2 linked regions of the Macaca mulatta genome follow. The protein of the gene in region 1 purifies or fractionates together with the protein of each later gene. This does not show direct contact. Links are inferred from orthologs where the notes say so. Each region holds a gene or a part of one and is shown on either strand. Other genes may lie near its edges.

Region 1 (3,913 bases):
ACTACCAGTGCAAATGCCTTTTTATTTCTAGTTTCAAACTGTCACATAGGAAATGTTTGTTAAAACTAACGTTTTATAAAATTTAAAGCTTATTTTACATATCTCATTTGATCTCTCAAGAATTCTGTGAGCTTGGCAATGTAGATTGCTGTATATGCCTTAGGCTGATGAATAAACAGGCTTAGAGAGTCACTTGCCCGAGGTTAGGTAGCTGTAAGTGTTGGGATTGAATCCCAGGTCTTCTCACCACCACTTTCTACAAAAATCACTGAAGGTTGTCAACCAGCAGAGAGGATTACTCTCTGTGTTGATAACAAAAGGGTGATCAATAATATTTAAAAAGCAGACTTTGTGTAAAAGTCTTTCCCTTACCTTAAAAACTATGCCACAATGGAGCATTCTTTCATTCCTCCAATTTAATTATATCTGGCGAGAAACAGTAATGGGCTAAACCATTGTTGTATCTTAAGTCAAATTGCCAAAACTCCACAGGCTACTAAAAGTTAACCCTTACTGAATGAATTAAGAACCATAGAAGTTCTGCTGTTAAAAAACAGCACGGTGACAGTCAGGGTTTTTCAGGCGTAGGGGGTGTGTGTTTTAAGACTTTAAGCCAGTTTTGTCCCACTGAAATCACCGTCAGTGATTTTTAGTAGAAAGTGGTGGTGAGAAGACCTGGGATTCAATCCCAACACTTACAGCTACCTAACCTCGGGCTAGTGACTATCTCTAAGCCTGTTTGTTCTTCAGCCTAAGGCATATACAGCAATCTACATTGCCAAGCTCACAGAATTCTTGAGAGATCAAATGAGATCTCTTAAGTTCTTTGCTGTGATGGATTCCTTTGACTTTGTCTCTATTATTATAGGCTTATAGGTCCGGGGCAACTACCAATCGTTATTCAAAGGGGAAAGCACCCTGTTAGAAATCAAGTAAGAAAAATGGTTTATATTCCCGGTCTGCCATCTCTATTCTAAGCTTTATCTTTATTTAGCTCCCAGTTAAAGGGGGAATAGAGCCACACCCACCTCACAAACGCCCCGAGGACTGGGAGACCAGAAAAGTAAAAGCCACTTGCAAACCTAATTTAGCTCTAAGTCGATAAAAAATACTATCATATGCTCACATTTCTAATATTTGCTAATATAATGTAATCTTTATTTTGAAAATAATGTGCCTCCAATCCTAGTAAAGAGAAAGTCACGGCATGCGACTCTCCCTTCAGCACCAACTGGCCTCTCACGCGAGACTCGGCTTTCATGCTTTAGTCCAGGACTGCACGGCAGGCGGAAGAGAAGCGCCTGTGGTGACGCACTTATTCCGCGCGATGACGTGACTACAAGGCGCCGGGGGACACGTTGGCTGGGTTTTCGGCGGGCTTCTCGGGGACAAAAATGGCTATGGCTAGCGATTTCTACCTGCGCTACTACGTAGGGCACAAGGGCAAGTTTGGGCACGAGTTTCTGGAGTTCGAATTTCGGCCGGACGGTGAGAAGAGGCCCACGGCACGCGGTGCTGGGAAAGGGGAGCGAGACCGAGAGGCCGTGGAGGAGGCGAGGGGAGGCCGGGTGGTGTGGAGGGTACAGGGGGCGGAGGCCACTGCTTCCCTCGAAGGAAATAGGAGCTTAAGAATAGAGGAGGCCTAAGTTGGTTTTATAAATGAAAGAGAACTAATTGCAATAAATTAAAGCTAATCCTGTCGCAAACTGAAAAGTCGAACTTACAGTAATCAGAATTCTGTAACTGCACCAGAAGGGACTCTGTAGATTGTTGACCTGGATTAAAAATGCTAGCACTTTTTTGAAAACACCCCCATCAGCGGGTGGTCCAATGGATGAATAAAATCTTGTGGTGACCAGTACCTTTTCTTCATTCAGGCTGTGTGTGTTCTTTGAAGGGGAGGAGCCCGACGTGTTAACAAATGAGAATAATAATATGTTTTAGGTGTCTACGTATAATTGTTCACCACAGGACGCATGAAGAGTACCAAAAAAGAGGGGAGATGTAAAGTTCCACAGGAGGGAGTCAGGAAAATCTTCCTAGAGGAAGACACTCTTGAGATGAGTCTCGAAATGAGAGACTTGGCCTTTGAGAGAAAAAAACAGACTTCCAGAGCAGTGAGAGCAGAGGACGAGGTGAAACTGCTACCCCAGTAGCGTGCAACAATTTGTTTTCTGACAGCGCTATTAGAGAATGTTACATTGGTCCTGCCTACCTGCAACAAGAAAGTTCATTTGGATATATATGTTTTGGTTTTTTTTAAATGCACGTTTTTTGCTGGGCAACAAGCAAATACAAAATTTGAAGGTACACTAATGAGTAAGACAAATTTAACTCAAAGAGATTTGTCTTGGTGGGGACACAGACATTTAACTATAAAGCAGTAGGTATATTAATAAGCAGGCTTTGGACAATGTTCTGTGAGAGCAAGAATAAAAAATTAGAGGAGAAACGTATATTAGGAAAGGAGAAGAGTATCAAGCATTTCAGGCAGAACTCACGTGAACTACAGTCCTGCAATTATTACTTTGAAACAGAGTCTCACTCTGTCACTCAGATCTGAGTGCAGTGGCACGATCTCAGCTCACTGCAACCTCCGCCTCCCAAGCTCAAGTGATCCTTCACCTCAGCCTCCCGAGGTGCTGGAAATACAGGCCAGTGCCACCTCGCCCATCTCCTTTGTTGTTGTTGTTGTTGTTGTAGAGATGGGTTTCCGCATGTTGCCCAGGCTGTCCTCAAACCCCTAAGGTCAAGAGATTCACCAGCCTCAGCCGCCCGAAGTCCTGGGATTACACGCATGAGCCACCGTGCCAGCCCTGCAATTATTTAGAAACCTTAATCACTGTATTCGACCTTACTCTCCCCATAAATTCAGCTAAATTTACCTGAATTCATCTATTCTTTATGTAGTATTATTTTCAGTTCCTCTGCCTGTGAACACCGTCAAGCTTGTCTCTATTACTTTTAGCAGGTCACATAAATTAAGCACCTGAATATTATCAGGGAAGTTTTATGCTAGAACAGTGGTTCTAATCAATGTATCTGCCACTGCACTGTTACACATACTTCTTCTATTGGTAATATTGAGTCTCCCGAAGACCTGCCTGCCTGCCTGCCTGCCTGCCTTCCTTCCTTCCTTCCTTCCTTCCTTCCTTCCTTCCTTCCTTCCTTCCTTCCTTCCTTCCTTCCTCTTTCTTTCTCTTTCTTTCTTTCTTTCTTTTTCTTTCTTTCCTTCTTTCTTTCTTTCTTTCTTTCTTTCTTTCTTTCTTTCTTTCTTTCTTTCTTTCTCTTTCTTTTTCTTTTTCTTTTCTTTTTTTCTTTCTTTTCTTTCTTTCTTTTTTTTGAGACAGAGTGTTGCTCTGTCACCCAGGCTGCAGTGCAGTGGTGCGATCTCAGCTCACTGCAACCTCTGCCTCCTGGATTGAAGCGGTTCTCCTGCCTCAGCCTCCCGAGAAGCTGGGATTGGAGGCATGTGCCACCATGCCCGGCTACTTTTTCGTATTTTTAGTAGAGATGGGGTTTCTCCATGTTGGCCAGACTGGTCTCGAACTGCTAACCTCAGGTAGTCCACCTGTCTCGGCCTCCCGAAGTGCTGGGATTACAGGCGTGAGCCACTACGCCTGGTGCCAAGCCATCAAAGACTGGCATTTCTATCATTTTAGAGTAACTGCTGCACATTATAGCTGTGTCTGGGCAACTGACTAGCCATAAGGGGAAGCATACATCAGATAATACACAAATCATGATGGATTAAAATTAAATATAAACTAGCTAACAAACTCATCAACTTCGATCCAGAAGCATCGTTTGTATCCTTCTTAGTCATAATTCTAAAATGTCTACAATATAATTGTATGCATACATTTGAAGGAAAAAAAGGAACATTTTTTTGTAGTGGAGAAAGCCTGAGTAT
Region 2 (3,913 bases), about 53 Mb from region 1:
TAAATGGGACATGCTGCCTAGTGTAAGAGGTAATCACCAATATTTACCTCCTCCCTCCTTCCTGGTTCCAGGGGTACTGCTGGATATTAAACTAAGTCAAAGTGGGGACATATGGAGGAAGGTAAAAGGATTGATAAGGAAAAAGCTATATAAGGGTGGAGCAGGGCAGAGTTGACACCTGAGGAGAAGAACCTGCAGTCGGGCCCCTCCCAGGCTGTAGGGGAAACAAGTTTAACAGAACTTAGCCCTGAAGGAACAACAGTTGCTGAAATGGGCGGCGGAGGAAAGAGCATTTGGGTTCGTCTGAATAGGGAGGTACGGGGCAGGGGAGGACTACAAATGGAGTGACCCTGCGGGACCGGATTATTGACGAGCTGCCCCGCTTTAGATCCTCAGCGGTTGGACGAGTTTAATTAGAATACTAGGTAGGTCCGCCCAGAAGCCTTTACCCTGCCCTCTGACCCTAGGGCCCAATCCAAGGAGGCACTCAGGGTTAGGAGGTCTGGGAGAGAAGCAAGTAGGGCCCTCATCACTTCGCCGCCGAATCTCCGGCGCCGCCCAGCGGGGCAGAGCCAGGCCAGGGCCGCCCGCCCAACCTGGCCAGCTGCCTCTTCAGCCATGGAAGCTGCCGGCAACCCTGCGGCTACGGAGACAGGTGACCGACCCGTGGCGCTCTCCGCCTTGCACGCCCCTCCCGCGGGTCTCTGGAGGTTGAGTGGGGCGGCCGACAGCAATCGGCACGCGAATTCGACCTCCCCACCTTCTTAGAGAGGGTTACATGGGGTCTTCCAACCGTCCCCAGAAACACTTGTGCGCCCCAGTGCGTTCCTGGAGTTTGTCTGCTCCACGTCACCAAGCTGCTCTCAGGTCTGGGTGCAGGCCAAAGCCTGGATAGTCTTCCTTTCTTCATTTATAAGGCCCCCTTTTTGGGTGCAGGTGGGCCCTACGCCCTTTTCCCTCGCAGGTCGTGGACATACGAGGAGTTCCTGGGATGAGAGGGACTGTGCCTCGGAACTTCTCTTGGCTCCCCGAGGACTGTTTTACAGGCAGCAAGCGCTCAATAATGGTATCGGTGGCAGTAAAAGAGCCCACGGCTTTATTTTATTAACTATTTCAGCTTCTCCCCTCTTCCTCCTCCTCCACCTCCGCCCATGAAATGGTGCACTCTCCCTTTAAGACTAAGATGGTGGCTTGCTACGATCGGGACTCCACTTCCGGTGGGGAGGGGGGCGGGACCCCAGCCCGCTCACGCCGGAAGTGGTTTGCGTTTTCAAGATGGCGACTCCCTATGTTACTGACGAGACCGGCGGTGAGTGCGGGAGGCGCGGAGCCGCTTCTCCCCGGGCTCTCGGGGCAGGGGTTCGGACTTGGAAAGGGGTCTGTGCCCCGCCCATCCCGGGGCCCCTCCTTTGCCCCGCCCCCCGGACCGCCTTCCCCATTCATTCTCTCCTGCGGGGTGTCTCCTGCGCCCCCTTCTGGTCTCGTGTTTGGGGGTCTCTGCTTCCGGTCACCCAAACCCTGGGGTCCTTCAGTGCTGGTCCCTGCTTCAGGACCCTCACGGGCCCTTAGCTTTTCTCCAGCAGTTGGAGCACTCATATCTCTTATAGGTTTTTCAGCCTTGGGGACTCCTACACTCTCAGTTCCCTCCAATTCCTGCCCTCCTACTTTTCCCCTCCCCCATCTCAGCTATACTTGCTTTCTGCCCTACCTCAGTCCCATTTTCATTATTTTTCTCGAAGCGGTATTTGCTGAAGACCTTCTCGTTTCTACATAGTACTTTTTCCTCTCCCTTATCTTCATCTGTTGGGTCACTGAGGTTTAGAGGTGTGAAGGGAAGAGGACCCTAATATAACTTTCAGCTTGAGTTTTCTCCCTGATGGAGCCACCCTTCGCTATCTTATCCTGTGATGGTGATAGAAATTGAGGGGTCTAAGGTGGGAAGAGGCAAACAGGAAAGTGTCTAGTGGCTTTTCTCCGAAGCCCTTTGACAAGTGAATAAAACCCACTCTTCCTTCTGGCTAAAGAATTTCCAGCCTGGCTGGTCGAGATGCTGAAGTGTCTGCTGTGTATGTGAGGTGTATGTGTTGGAAACGGAGAATCACAGCTTTTATCTTGGTTTTGTCCCTTCCTAATGACCTCATCTTTAGAAAAATATGCGTAGTAGTAATAGCTACTCAATGATGATCAAATAATATATGTGAAAGCAATTTACAAAATGCTGTGCAAGTGCAAAGTGTTTCTGTTTTTGTAGCCCTCATATGTGTAGTCTGTAGAAGCAACACTGTGCCTGTGCCTTGGTACACACGGTCTGTTTTAAAATGTGCCATTTTGCTTCTTGCTCTGCTGCTTTCCATGTTCCTTACACCTCTTCCACCTGTCTTATGGTACCTGATGACAACCCAGGTTGCTGCTACTTCTCCCCAACCTCACAATTTAAAAGTGGTACTACCTCTTTCCTTCTGTTCTCTACCCAGTAGCTCCTTCATGAATTACCAATTTTTAATGTGTGCTTTGAAAATACTACTTATCCAGTATATTTCTCTTTACTCTTAATCATTTTCTTTACCCTGACTCCGTGAAAATCCAGGTATGACATCTCACCCTACCTTGCCACTAAAAGCTGTTTTCTGTTTTTAGTGACTATGTGGAAGAGAAGAAGGAATAAACTGCTTTTTTGTTTTCCTTTACTATGTCCAGATCGTTGATCTACCACTGTCACTAATCCTCATGGAAGGTATTGCCATGCAATTATAGCAGTTTCTGTAAAACTTTAGTGTCATCATTTACTGCCCACAAGGACCCAGACCTATTGCATATTTTTTTCTCTCCTCTTTTTCTTGCTGTCATTTTCAGTGTCTCCAGCACCATTGGAATACTCTGATCTCATAGTTCCTCAGCATGAGACGGTCGACTTTGCTTTGTATTTTCAAACCAGTTGCACATCAGAATCACTACAACCTGGATCTCATCTAGGACACCACTTTTTCTTCAGGTGCTCCCCATCACTTTAGCCTCCTTATCAGTCACTTATTTCACTATCTTAAACCCTCAGGATCAGCTTTGTGTCCTCAGGTTCTCTGGTTCTTGACCTTTCCATTTCATTGAATCTGTCAGTACCTTATGGCCTTTGGTGCTGCCCAGCTAGACCTCTGTGACCAGCCCCTTTGATAATATCCTCTTGCTTTCTTTATTCATTTTGATTTTCTATACTAAGCAGGCACTTCTGTTATCTCTAATGATGGCTATGATTAGAGATGTTTTCTTGGCTTCTGCTTCTAGGCCACAGCATGTTGCTAGAGAAAAAGTACAGAAGCTATCAGATTCAATATAAGTTAATATAACTTCTGCCAAGATCATGGCTTCTAATCATTCTTTTCTTTTTAAAACAATTTTTTGCTAGGCGCGGTGGCTCACGCCTATAATCCCAGCACTTTGGGAGGCTGAGGTGGGTGGATCAACTGAGGTCAGGAGTTCAAAACCGGCCTGACCAGTATGGTGAAACCCCATCTCTACTATAACTACTAAAATTAGCTGGGTGTGGTGGCGTGGTGGTGTGGGCCTGTCATCTTAGTTACTCGGGAGGTTGAGACAGGACAATCGCTTGAACCCAGGAGGCAGAGATTACAGTGAGCTGAGATCGCGCCACTGCACTCCACTCTGGGCGATAGAGGGAGACTTTGTCTCAAAAATAAATCAATAAATAAAAATTTAAATTTATTTTTTATGTTCTTCCATAGCTGTTTTCCCCAAACTTTTCCAGCTCTGTGTGACCATCCCTTTTAATTCTCCTCCTTTTGGCAGATGACTTCATTTTTATTTTACTGAAAAATCAAGGCCTATCATTTTTGTTTCCTTTTTCTTCATAGCAAGATTTTGTTTGTTTCTTTCTTTTTTTAAAATGTAGGGATGCAGA

Evidence for each region.
Region 2: the proteins of MAGOHB (region 1) and PYM1 purify together in Homo sapiens (co-immunoprecipitation; 3 studies listed by BioGRID and IntAct, with this or other methods). This does not show direct contact. The link is inferred for Macaca mulatta from reciprocal best matches to the Homo sapiens genes MAGOHB and PYM1.

What each region holds. Positions count from the first base shown.
Region 1 is NC_133416.1:9,994,054-9,997,966, forward strand, and holds the start of MAGOHB (protein mago nashi homolog 2), read left to right. Parts: upstream 1-1,344; 5' UTR 1,345-1,394; coding exon 1,395-1,488; intron 1,489-3,913. UniProt on the Homo sapiens protein: Required for pre-mRNA splicing as component of the spliceosome. Plays a redundant role with MAGOH in the exon junction complex and in the nonsense-mediated decay (NMD) pathway.
Region 2 is NC_133416.1:63,070,736-63,074,648, reverse strand, and holds the start of PYM1 (partner of Y14 and mago), read left to right. Parts: upstream 1-1,268; 5' UTR 1,269-1,275; coding exon 1,276-1,309; intron 1,310-3,913. UniProt on the Homo sapiens protein: Key regulator of the exon junction complex (EJC), a multiprotein complex that associates immediately upstream of the exon-exon junction on mRNAs and serves as a positional landmark for the intron exon structure of genes and directs post-transcriptional processes in the cytoplasm such as mRNA export, nonsense-mediated mRNA decay (NMD) or translation.